3 linked regions of the Callithrix jacchus genome follow. The protein of the gene in region 3 interacts with the protein of the main gene of each other region in a pairwise test. Links are inferred from orthologs where the notes say so. Each region holds a gene or a part of one and is shown on either strand. Other genes may lie near its edges.

What was found.
Region 1: the proteins of SH3GL3 (region 3) and ATXN2 interact in binary tests that used the Homo sapiens proteins (3 or more experiments, as listed by UniProt). The link is inferred for Callithrix jacchus from reciprocal best matches to the Homo sapiens genes SH3GL3 and ATXN2.
Region 2: the proteins of SH3GL3 (region 3) and RPL35A interact in a two-hybrid assay, tested with the Homo sapiens proteins (2 studies listed by BioGRID and IntAct). The link is inferred for Callithrix jacchus from reciprocal best matches to the Homo sapiens genes SH3GL3 and RPL35A.

Annotation. Positions count from the first base shown.
Region 1 is NC_133510.1:114,460,533-114,464,527, forward strand, and holds the start of ATXN2 (ataxin-2), read right to left. Parts: upstream 2,801-3,995; 5' UTR 2,545-2,800; coding exon 2,315-2,544; intron 1-2,314. UniProt on the Homo sapiens protein: Involved in EGFR trafficking, acting as negative regulator of endocytic EGFR internalization at the plasma membrane.
Region 2 is NC_133518.1:81,470,981-81,475,127, reverse strand, and holds the start of RPL35A (large ribosomal subunit protein eL33), read right to left. Parts: upstream 2,801-4,147; 5' UTR 2,688-2,800; intron 2,096-2,687; 5' UTR 2,064-2,095; coding exon 2,053-2,063; intron 1,870-2,052; coding exon 1,717-1,869; intron 1-1,716. Other genes in the region: DRC9 (dynein regulatory complex protein 9), read left to right, coding at 3,088-3,104.
Region 3 is NC_133507.1:24,739,924-24,743,889, reverse strand, and holds the start of SH3GL3 (endophilin-A3), read right to left. Parts: upstream 2,801-3,966; 5' UTR 2,595-2,800; coding exon 2,526-2,594; intron 1-2,525. UniProt on the Homo sapiens protein: Implicated in endocytosis. May recruit other proteins to membranes with high curvature.

The DNA of each region.
Region 1 (3,995 bases), on a different chromosome or scaffold from region 3:
TTCACCCTTGCTCTCAGAAACTTATTTTCATTGCTGATACACAAACCAAAGTGAGGCGATTCCAGAAGTTGAAACTTATTTACAAGGAAAGCAGTAAAGTGATTCAAAATTCAAAGTAATTCTACAAGTACATTAACAATCTGCACAAGAATAAATTTCACATTATACAAATCCAACACAGTAAATAAAATTTCACCTATTCATCAAAAAGAATAAAGGCTACCATTTAGGTCTCGAGTAAAAGAATGTAAAGCAAGGAAAAAAATCTAAATTAATCTTAAATTGTTGTAAAGCCTCAAGGAACAGAAAAAGGCCTTGTGGAACTAAAACATTCCAAGTATCTCTCATCACTCAAGCTATTCTGAAGCAAATTCTGCTATAATCTAATTTTTAAGCCTAAGAGTCAATGCAATTTAAAATCCTTAGTTTTAATTTGTATGTATTTGAACAAGTTGAAAATATCTGCCAAATCTCCTTCTAATACCTAAGAAAATAAAAACAATGCATCATTTTCTATAAAAATTGTACTTAAAATTTTTTCATTCCTCACTAGATGCCAACAAAAAAGGGAAAGTGAAGTTACTCTATGAGGGGAAATGATCACTTCACCTGAACTAGTTTGGCTAAGTAGTGGCTGGGATGCTTCAGACTCAGAGAAGTTGGGGGGGGGGGCGGGGCGGGGACGGGACGAGGCTTGTAAGTCAAATAACCGAAGACTATTTCAGCCCCTGGCCCCATTGAAGGCAAGAGAATTCCTTAAAAACCAGCTGATACCTCTTGATGGGGAACTTAAGCTGTAAATAAAAATTATTTAGAAATGGATTGCTGAAAATGTGTGTTCAAAAAGAAAACTCAGGTGCGTGAAAAATCCTCTTATCCCACCTTCCAAAACCCAAGATGTCTAAGGAGGACGCCAGTCATTGGCCCTGCCAAGCCGGCGGCCTAGGCCTAAGGGAGGCACAGTAGCGCCTGCAACACGGATAGACTTGGGGCACAGGGGAAATGGACTTGCGTGCCCTTGGTAAGCTCTGGCGGCACTCCCGAAGTTAAGGACACCGGCCACAATGGAATGGAGTCTATTGACATTTGCTTCTCCGTTTGAACACTAAGCATTTTCTTAGTTCGTGAAATACGAACTGACAATCACCACCCCCCGCCACCCTCAATAGGACCTCCTGCACGAACACACTCTCCAGAGTCAAAACCAGTTAGCCAGGACAACACTGATCCCTCGCCCCGTCTCTATCACAACCCCGGCTTAGGTGGGAAAAAGACACCAATAAACATTTCTGCGTTCAGAAACCACACCACGTCCCCTTCTGCAATCTCTCTCTCCTAGCATTTCCGAAATTGGGGCGGGGATTGGGAAAAGTGCGCAGGGCACCCGCTCCCTGCCACCAGCACCGCCGCCCCGGATCTCCCGGATCCAGCCTGGGTCCGGCCCTCGCCCACCACTGTTCACAGGCGCCTTCTCCACCGCAGCCTCGGAACAGCAATGCGGATCGGCCACCACCCGCGCGCCGGACAGGCCAGGCGGGGGAAGAATGGAGGCCGGGCACTCCCCACCCCTTCCCTTCCTTAGGAGGGGTAAGGCGGAACGCTGCAGGAGGCTGCACGGAGCCCCAAGATTCCACGGGAGTTCGGGAGCCCCCGCCGCAGCCTCGGAATCAAACGGGGAGGGGTGCGGGGGCCAAGGCCCACCTGTCTCCACCCAGTCTTCCGATCTTTCCCAGGACTGGGAGGGGGCGGGGAGAGGAGCCCCGATAGACCCTGATGATTCCGGAGGAGCCCAGTGCCTACCCCTTTAACGCGCACGGGGGACGCGGCCCTAACTTCTCCCCTTCTGAGATGTCCCCCACGATGGGGGAACGACATGTTCCGGAAAACGACACCAAAGCCTCCAGACCCCTCCAACGTTCACACCTAAACTGGGGGTGGGACGCTGCCCAAGCATACCCCTGCTGCGGGAGGAGGGGGCGTGCGAAAGGGGGAGCCAGGGGTGACCACAGCCGCGACCCGAGAACTCCTCCCAACACGCGTGGGGAGGGGAGGCCGCTGGCTCCCTCCATCTTGACCGCTGGGGGAGGGGGCGGGGATGCTGCGGGAGGCTGGACAGGCCTGACAATCCCAGAAGACCCCCGCGGCGCCCCCCAGCCGAGCCTCGGGACTCTGGCCCGGGCGAGTCCCCCACACGCCGCCAGCCCCCAGCCCACCTCGGGCAGCCCTGCCGGTCATGGGGCGGGGACCGCCGCGCGAGCCGCGGGGGAAGGGACACCGGGCCCAGAGCAGAGGGGGCTGGGGTGCCGACACCCACCTGCCCAGGCCGGGCCTCCCGCTGCCAGCGGTCGCCACGGCCGCCGAGGAAGAGGGAGCCGTGGCCGAGGACGAGGAGACAGAGGACGAGGACGGCGAAGGCACGACGGCGGGCGACGCGAGAAGGCCGCTGCCGCCGGGCTTGCGGACATTGGCGGCCGCAGGCGGCTGCGGCTGCTGCTGCTGCTGCTGCTGCTGCTGTTGCTGCTGCTGCTGGGGCTTCAGCGACATGGTGAGGGGCCCATACACCGGCTCGCACGCCGGGCGGGGACAGTCGGGAGCCGGGCGCGCCGAGGAGTCGCCGGAGCGCAGCGGGGACGCGAGAGTGCCGAGCGGGGAGGCGCGGGTTGGCGCGGCCGGGGGGGCGCCCGGGCTGACGAGGGGGAAAAGGAGGACGAAGAAGGGGCGGGGAGGCCCGCCGAGACCGAGGAACCGCCGGAAGCCGGACCGGGATGCGCCGCCGTTGCCGTTGCTACCAAAACAGTCTGAGGCGGAGAGAGGCGAGCGCTGCGGGGAGGGAGGGGGGCCAGGGCCGGGCGGGGGAGGGGCGGCGGAGGGATACGGGCCCGGTACCTCGCCACCGCCGCCCCGCCCGCTTCGCCGTGCCGGCCGCGGGAGCGAGCGCCCCCCGGGCCACCTAGCTGCGGCGAAACGGCGAGGCTCGGTGGCTGCCGCGGAACTCTGAGGAGGTGCGGCCGCTGAGCGCATCGGAGGCTGAGTGCGCCGAGGCGCCGGGTGGGCACGGGGATGCCGGATTGGGACTCTTTACCGGAAGTCGGAGGAGTCGGGCGGAAGCAAATCGTTAGGCGGACCCGGGACCGGGAGGGACACGTGAAGAGCGGGCGCACCGCTGGTCCGCGTTAGCGGGGGTCGGGTGAGGGCCAGGCGGCAGGCCCTTCCCAGGTCCGCCCTCTCGAGGCGGGTCTGCCCTTCGGGGAGGGCGTGTCGGTCTTAGCCTCTGGGGCCTGCCTGGTGTGGAGAACGGCAGGGAAGCATTTTTTCCCCCAGTGTATTCCTTCAACGTCCTCACACTCCTGCAGGGACCTCGTTTGCCCCCACCTGATGCAACCCAGAAAATGAACTGCGAGTTCTTTGGAGTGGAGAATTTATCTTTCTACGTGTAAAGCACCTACAACCCTGCCAGATTCAGGGGGCACACCATCCCGCCGTTTTCCTGCCGGGCACACACTAGGCTCTCCAGTGCCTCTGGGAACCTTCCAGGCAGGCCGCGCTATGCTGTCCTGCTGAGGCTGGAGTGGAGAAACCCTCCGGGGCCACCCACATCTGGGTACCTTTTCCCCACTTTTTTCATCCCAGCCTCGAAAACTCTTCTAGGTATCTGACCTTCATCTGAACTTTTTCCTCATTCACGAGATTCTGAAGGAAATATACGGGACTGAGACTGGTAGAGCTGAGAATAAGCAGACCTCACAAGAACGTGCGAACTTTAGACCTTGTACCCTTTATAAGTTTTAATTTAACTTAGCCAGCCAGCAGAGTAGACCCTTTATAAAATGTGTTGCAAGTAAACTGGAAGCAAGTAGATAACTTTTTTTATCTTGAGCAGCCAATCTAGTGTTTTTGAGTGAAATGACTTCAGGAAATTAATAGAGGAAGAAACACCAAAATTCCCCTTCAATGTCCTAGAATTGTCCAGATAAAGACCTAGAAAAACATGGAGA
Region 2 (4,147 bases), on a different chromosome or scaffold from region 3:
TTCCTTTAATTAGACAACAGTTGTCTTTCACCCAGCCTGCAGTGCAGTAACCCAATCATCGGTCACTGCAGACTCCATCTCATGACATCAAGCAATCCTCCCACCTATGCCTCCCAAACACTGGGATTACAGGTGTGAGCTACTGCACCTGGCCCCCGACTTAAATTTTAAGCCACTGACTTAAAATGTTAAAGGAACACTTTGCCTGCAGATGAAAAGGTGGGGCAATGATGAAAACACTTTCCCAGAGATTTTAATTGGCCTGGAATGGGTTAAGAAAATAGGATTGGCTGAGCACTGTGGTTCAGGCCTGTAATCCCAGCACTTGGGAGGCCAAGGCGGGCAGATTACAGGGTCAGGGGTTCTAGAGCAGCCTAGCCAACATGACACAACCCCATCTCTATTAAAAAGACAGAAGTTAGCCTGGCATGGTAGCACACGCCTGTAATCCCAGCTACTGGGGAGGCTTAGGTCACAGTGAGCCAAGATCACTCCAGTCTGGGTGACAGAGCAAGATGTCCTCTCAACAAAAAGAACTAATGTCTACAGTATCAATACCTTTAGGCATGCATAAAAGCCGCAATTTGGGCCTGGTGCACTGACTCACACCCGTAATCCCAGCACTTTGGGAGGCAGAGCCGGGTGGCTCACTTGAGGTCAGGAGTTCAAGACCAGCCTGACCAACACTGTGAAACCCTGTTTCTACTAAAAATACAGAGTTAACCCCAACTACTTGGGAGGCTGAGGCAGGAAAATCGCTTGAACCTGGGAGGTGGAGATTGCAGTGCATTGAGATTGTGCCACTGCACTCCAGCATGGACAAGAGTGAAACTATGTCTCAAAAAAAAGAAAAGAAAAAAAAAATCTTAATTTTAAGGCATCAACAAAATGCATTACACACGAAAAGCGTTCTAAACCACCTTAAATTCTGGCCAAAGGAGCTGAGAAGAAAATTAAAAACCTTTAAATGATCACAATGTAATAAGAAATTCGCTCCTTTATTAAGTGCCAAAAGTTCCTAAATCCAACACCGCCCTCAAAAAGTAATGTCCTTCTAAAACTCCCCATTAAGTTCAATGACGCAAAATAGGCACCACAGCAACACCAATCCAGCCTGGCCAACATGGGAAAACCTAGTCTCTAATAAAAAATACAAAAATTAGCAGGGTGTGGTAGTGAACCCCTTGAAGCCCAGCTACTCAGAAGGCTGAGGCTGGAGAACTGCTTGACACTTGACTCAGGAGGCGGAGGTTGCCATGGGACAAGATCGCGCCACCTCACTTCGACCTGGGCAACAGAGCAAGTCTCTTGTCAAAAACAAAAAAACCAATACCAAATACTTCAGCCACCTCTTTTGTTTATTCTTCCAATAGGAAAATGAAGCCAGGCGCAGTGGCTCACGCCTGTAATCCTAGCACTTTAATAAGAGGCCAAGGCGGGTGTATCACCTGAGGTCAGGAGTTTGAGAGCAGCCTCGCCAACAAGACAACCAACCCCCTCACGCCCCCACCCCCAACTAAAAATACAAAAACTAGCTGGGCGGGTGCCTGCAATCTCAGCTACAAGGGAAGCTGAGGCAAAACTGCTTGAATCGGAGGCGAAGGTTGCAGTGAGGGAGATAGCTCACTGGACTCCAGCCTGGGCAACAGAGCAAGAGTCCATTATTTAAAAAAAAGAAAAAGAGACAGATCTCAAATTAAAACCCAATAAACTTACTTCTTTGCTTTGTATACATAAGCACATCTCTTGCCCAAATAGAATTCTGTTTCATCTCGGGCATAAACACCTTCGATTTTAAGAAGAGCTGTGTGCTCCCTTTGGTTCCGGAGACCCCGCTTATAGCCGGCAAAAATAGCCTTGGACCACAGCCTAAGAAACAAAAGATACACAACATGAAACGCAATCTTCAACGAACCAGTTAGACCTGTAATAACCCCCACCCAAAAGTTACCTAGAGCGAACATCTAATTTTTTTCTTACCAATTTTAAGCTCTCATTTACGTTCACGTGTAACACACAAAAACAAACAGCAACTATATTTAAAACGCGTACCTTCCAGACATAGCTCCTTCTGTAAGTCCTGTTCCCAGCAGGCCTTAAAACAAAAGATTCTGTTTAAAGCAAGCCACACAAATGTCCCGCCCCGTCCCCTCTCATTTAAGCCTCTAAGGCAAATTCCTTTTGAATCGGAATTTCACGTAAGAGTGCGGGGAAAATATTACGCCAGAACATCCGTATGAAACGCGGGGTCCGGCTAGACATTCGAACCTCAGAGAAGTTAGTATCTAAGCAAACTTAAGAATGAGACAAAACTAAGGGACAAGAGGCACTAAAATAACTCTTAGAAAAGCCTGGGAACACTCGGGAAAAGAAATGGAGACTTAAGCAGAGAAACACATCTAAGACCTTTACACTTGGCGGGGGAGAAAAGCTGAGGAAGAGACTGTTAGCAAAGGGAGGAAACAAAAACCCTATCCTAAAGGAAGCACGGCCCCATGGACAACTGCAGACGAACAAAAATATCCATTTCACTCCGCTCGGGTCCAAGAATTTAACTTAGATAACCGGGCAGCCGTTCTCCGGGTGTGAGGGGACCAAGCACAATCAGTCCAGCATCTCCTGCATCCTGTTGTCTCTCTTCTTGAAACCCATAGAAATCAATGGCTGGCAGTGATTCCGATACGCACCGGCAACTCGCTAGGGTAGACGAACAAACTCACTCCAGTCATTTACCTCCAAATTTCAGCAGCAGGCGCTTCTCTAGCCTCCACAAGTGCCAAGATGGCGGGAAGAGAAATACGAGGCCCCGCCGCGCGGCCTTGTGGGATTAAGCACCTCTCCAATGCGCCCTCAATTTAGGCATCTTCTAAAAACGCCAGAACAGCAGCCCTCGGAAATCGTCTTCGGACTGAAATAAGTCACATTCAAGAGCACTCTTAGAATTATTTTACTTAATCCTTTCATTTTGGTAGGCTGCAAGGTAAGCCTATTAGTTGGTAACAGGGGAAGGCAAAATAGTAGCCAGCTAAATCCGCCGAAGCTGTGCGTTGCCATAGAAACAACTTAGCTTGCTCCTTGCGTCCCCGGATGCTGTCGGTGGAAAGGTGAGGCTGCCTGAGGAGAGGACGGTCCCACTGCCTAAAGGCTGATTGACTGTAAGATTGATTTGCGAACAAATCGAGGGTGCTTTTCCTTCGATTCATACAGCAATAGACAGAACGGAGACTCTAACCTAGCATGGAAGAGAAAGGCTGGGAGCAGGAAGGCAGCAGGAGCTCTTCCCTTTTTCTTTTTCTATACTTCTTTTCTCCCCTCTACTTAGTTATCTCTTCAAGAAATGAGTCTGGGCACTGTGGCTCACGCCTGTAAACCCAGCTCTTTGGGAAGCCGAGGCGAGAGGATCGCTTGAGGCCAGGAGTTCGAGACCAGCCTGGGCAGCATAGTGAGACCATCTCCCCCGCCCTCCCCTATCTCTACAAAAGAAAAAAAAAGAATTAAAAAAAGAATGAAAGGACTTAAATTCTTACCTCCATTCTTCTTTTTGGATCCAAGGTATAAGGAGGACTGCCTAGAGGAGGCTTTATCGCCTTTTTAGACTTATTTTAGCTACCTCGTGTCCGCACCTGATAGGTCCTCAGTAGATACTTGTAGAGGTGTATTCGTGGACGCCAGAGATTTACATTTCCGAATTATTACGCATTTATTTGGGTTACCCTATGGATTCATTAATTTATTTAACAAATAGTTTAATGAATGGCTACCCTATACCAAGGTTTGTGTAGGATGACCACATGGCAGTAAACAAATCTCTTCCCTCATGGAGCTTACATCCTACGAGGGGGAGCAAGACAGTGAACAAGGAAAATAGGTGGCACATTAGAAGAAGGTAGCTTCTGTGGAGAAAATTAAGCAGAGAGGCCAGTGTAAAAGGCTTTCCGCCCCTTACTTTGAGATGGGAAGTATTTAAGGGTTCTGAACAGAAGAGTGACTCGATCTGACTTCCATATTGAGAAAGTCACTGCGTTGGGACTGAAGGGAGGCAAGGGCACCAGCAGGAAGAGAATTATAGGTTACTGTAGTGAATGTGATGAGAGATGATGGTGTGGAAACACACGTGATGAGTACTGGAATTCTGATTATATTTAAA
Region 3 (3,966 bases):
AAACAAGAAACAACATCACACCTAAAGAAATTAAAGAATATCTGTAATCCCAGCACTTTGGGAGGCCAAGGCAGGCAGATCACCCACGGTTGGGAGTTCGAGACCAGCCTGACCAACAGGGAGAAACCCCGTCTCTACTAAAAATACAAAATAAGCTGGATGTGGTGGCAAATGCCTTTTATCTCAGCTACTCAGGAGGTTGAGGCAAGAGAATCACTTGAACCTAGGAGGTGGAGGTTGCAGTAAGCTGAGATCATGTCATTGCACTCCAACCCTCTCTCCCTGAGAACTCTGTCTCAAAAAAAAAAAAAGAAAGAAAGAAATTAAAGAATAATTCTTTAAAATAGTCTATTATCCCATCTACCATCATGTTTCCACATTAGACTCATAAATGCCTTTTTACAGATGGTTCGTTTGAATAAGGTTCACATGTTGCACTGGATTGATTTGTCCCTGTCCTACTTTGGTTTCCCCAGAAACAGACCCTGGGGCAATGATTTCAGTGCAAATGGTTTATTTGGGAGGTGACCCTATAGAAACTGGTAGGGGAGTAGGAAAGTGAGCCAGTGGGGGAGGAGCACCAACAAGGGCGTGTTGCTGCTGGGGGCAAAGGAAGCTCAGTCTTTCTAGGCAACTCCAGAAAACAGTGTAGGACACCCCTGAGAGTTTCCCCAACCCTGGGAGGTAGAGGAAAGGAAGCTGGGGTATTTGTACACCAGCTCTCCACCCATCTTTGTCTGAGGACTGCTTTGAGACATTAACTCTCTAAGCCATTAATTCTCTGACACTCTGCTCTGCTTACCATGTGTAATCTTGGGGACAGAATAAATGCCCTTGGGCAAAGGGTCACAGGTGTCCCCAGCGCGCAGCCTCCAGCAAGCTGTAGAGGTCGAAGTGGAGTGAATGTGGGCAGAGCATCAAATGCATCTGTCACAGTCCCTTAGAAGTTTCTTTCATTAACACCACTTCCCCCCATCTTTTTCCTTTCCATGTATTTACTAAAGAAATGTGGTGTATTTTAGAATTTCCACATCCAGTGGATTACATTCCCATAGTGTTATTTGATATGCCCCCCTATCTTCCATACTTTCTATAAATTAAATAGTTGAAAGATTGATCAGATCGCAATTCTACTTTCTAGCAAGAAACCTACAGGTAAGTCAGTGTCCTTCCTACACCACCACATAGGAAGTATGGGCTTCTAACAACTAAAGGTTTGCCCAGCTTGAAAGAAGCTTTAGGCCCCTCTCATTGGTTCGTTATGTTGCTTAATTCAGCATATTCCCAAGCAGACAAACTCCTTCCACATGCCGTGGAAGCTGGACAAACATGAAGTGAACAAGTCAGGCTCTGTGTCACTCAAAGGCCTTGCCGGCAGACTTCAAGCAGGGTTTGCCTGTGACTCAAAACAAACATCTGAAGATGGCATTGATTCTTCCACTCCTTACAGCACCTTTCAAACACCAAGCCCCTTCTGAAACCAACTCACACACCAGAAAAGGACAAGACCACATGAATTTTTGACTTTGAATGTCAGATGTGTGAATCTATTTACACTTTAGCTCCCATGAGTTCCAAAGCAGAGAGGTGTTCAGATCCTCTAAATCTTATCTACATCACTTCACAAGAAAACTTTCCCTTACAGCACTGTAATGCACAGACAGTGCAGGCAAAAAGAAAGAAAAGAAGAAAGAAAGAAAGTAAGTCAAGACTTTTGAAGGAACGCTAGCATTAAATTCAGAGGAAGATTGAGTCCAATGCAGTGTTTTATACGAAACTGACAAGTTGAAGTTCTTTAGCCATCGGTATTTAGGAAAAAGCTTCATTGAATTTGGGTAATTTTCCAAGGTCCTTTCCACTTCCCTCCATCAAGCTTTCTCCAGAAAGGCGTCCACAGAGTCCAATTCACTTATTCAAGAAACACTGGGCCAGAGCAGTGGCTCGCAGCTGTATCCCAGCACTTTGGGAGGCCAAGGTGGGCAGATCACAAAGTTGGGAGATCAAGACCATCCTGGCTAACACGGTGAAAGCCCATCTCTACTAAAAATACAAAAAATTAGCCTGGTGTGGTGGCACAGGCCTGTAGTGCCAGCTACTTGCGAGGTTGAGGCAGGAAAATCGCTTGAACCCAGGAGGGAGAACTTGCAGTGAGCCAAGATCGCACCACTGCACTCCAGCCTGGGTAACAGAGCATGACTCTGTCTCAAAAAAATAAAAAAAAGGAAAGGGGAGAGAGAGAGAAAGAAAGAGAAACTTACTGACCGGGTGAGCTAAGGGACTCTGTCTCCAAAACATACAGGAGGACTTCTAATGTCTCACTTTCCTCTCTACCCACAGGATTCTCAGACTCCACCCAGCACACATTAGGTCCCTGTCAATCATCATTCCCTGCTAATATAGGGCTTCCCACTTTTTACCATGAAGATCTCCAACTTCTTTCAGTGCTTCTGTGCTGAAGAGAATGGCTTTTCAAAGTTTACTCTTCTTCCCCAACATCTCCCCCTTAACATTTTCCCATTTCTTACCTGTTGGGAGATCCAGGTCAGGCACATATTACCTGGTTTGCATATTATCCCAGCAAAGATTCCATCCATTCATTCATCTTTTGATTTAAGAGAGTCCTCAATGTTTATGCCACTGCTCACTGGGAAAATGGTCATATTCCCTTAAAAGCTCCTGACGAGTATGTAACTAAAATGAACAAATTCCAAAGGATGATACTGCCCTTGTGAGAGCTTGGTCTATTTTCCCTGATGCACAGGTGCTATCCTGCCCAGATAGAAACCCAGTGACCACTGTCATGTACTGTGCTAGGCTGAACTAGGTTGTGAGGAGCCAACTGTGACATCACAGAGGCAGAGCATCACTTCAGGGCCAAGAAAATGACCACTTGATTCCTGTTTGTCTTCAGGGCACCCTCTGCCCTTGGTGGATATTTCAAACTCACAAATAACATTTCCTACCCAGGACATTTACCAGAAAAAACAGATCGTAATCTGGCCACCTTGGCTTCCTCTCTGAGAGAAGGCTGAGCCCTCCTGATGAGTCCTCAGTGTCCCTCTGGCATTTACCCGCCAGTGACTGGCATATAAGAAGTCACTGGGACAATGAAGTGTATAAGAGCAAAACCTCTGCTAATGAGGATAGCGGAAAACAAAAAACAACAAAGGCAAAATCACTAAAGGGTCAGTGTTAGCACAATTCCACAGTGGAAGGAAGCCAGCTTAGACCCACAGAGAAAGGGGAGTCCAAACTCCAAGAGTGGAGGCCCCTAAGAGGCCCCAACATCATTCATTCCCCTGAGGTTGGTTCCCACACAAGGTCATCAACCTCCTCCCAACCTCTGAGCTGACCTCTGTGGGCCATACAACTCTGACCCCAATGATGCAATTTCCCCTGCCTGGCAAAAATGCCCAGGGCACAGAGACAGTATTTGGTTCCCTTTTATCTATCATCTATCTATCTATCTATCTAGCATCTAATCTATCAATCATCTGTCATCTATCATCTAATCTATCAATCACCTATCATCTAGCTGTCATTTACCTATCAATCACCTATCTATATATCTATCCTCTGTCTATCAGCTTCTGACAATTCTTACTCAACTCTACCAAAAAACAGGCACAAACCTGTCCCACAGGCTATTCTCTATTCCCTAAATAGGCCTAATTTCACCACTTGCTTTCCCCTGGAAAGGGCATTTTGGTTCAGCCTCTTCATTTCAAATAGTGATAGTGGCCCAAAAGGGTTAATGACTTTCCCAAGATCACACAGCAGAAGCAGACTGAAATTCAAAACGATTGTGCTCTACAGACACTGGGCTATGTAATACTGAAGGATTTTCAGGTTTTTAGTTATAGAAGAAAAACATGGTTCTCAAATACATAAACTTGCCCTTGGGCTATCAAATGCTGGCTATGATGGGGCAACAGTTCCTTCAGGAGATGGGGTGGTTAGGGAGAG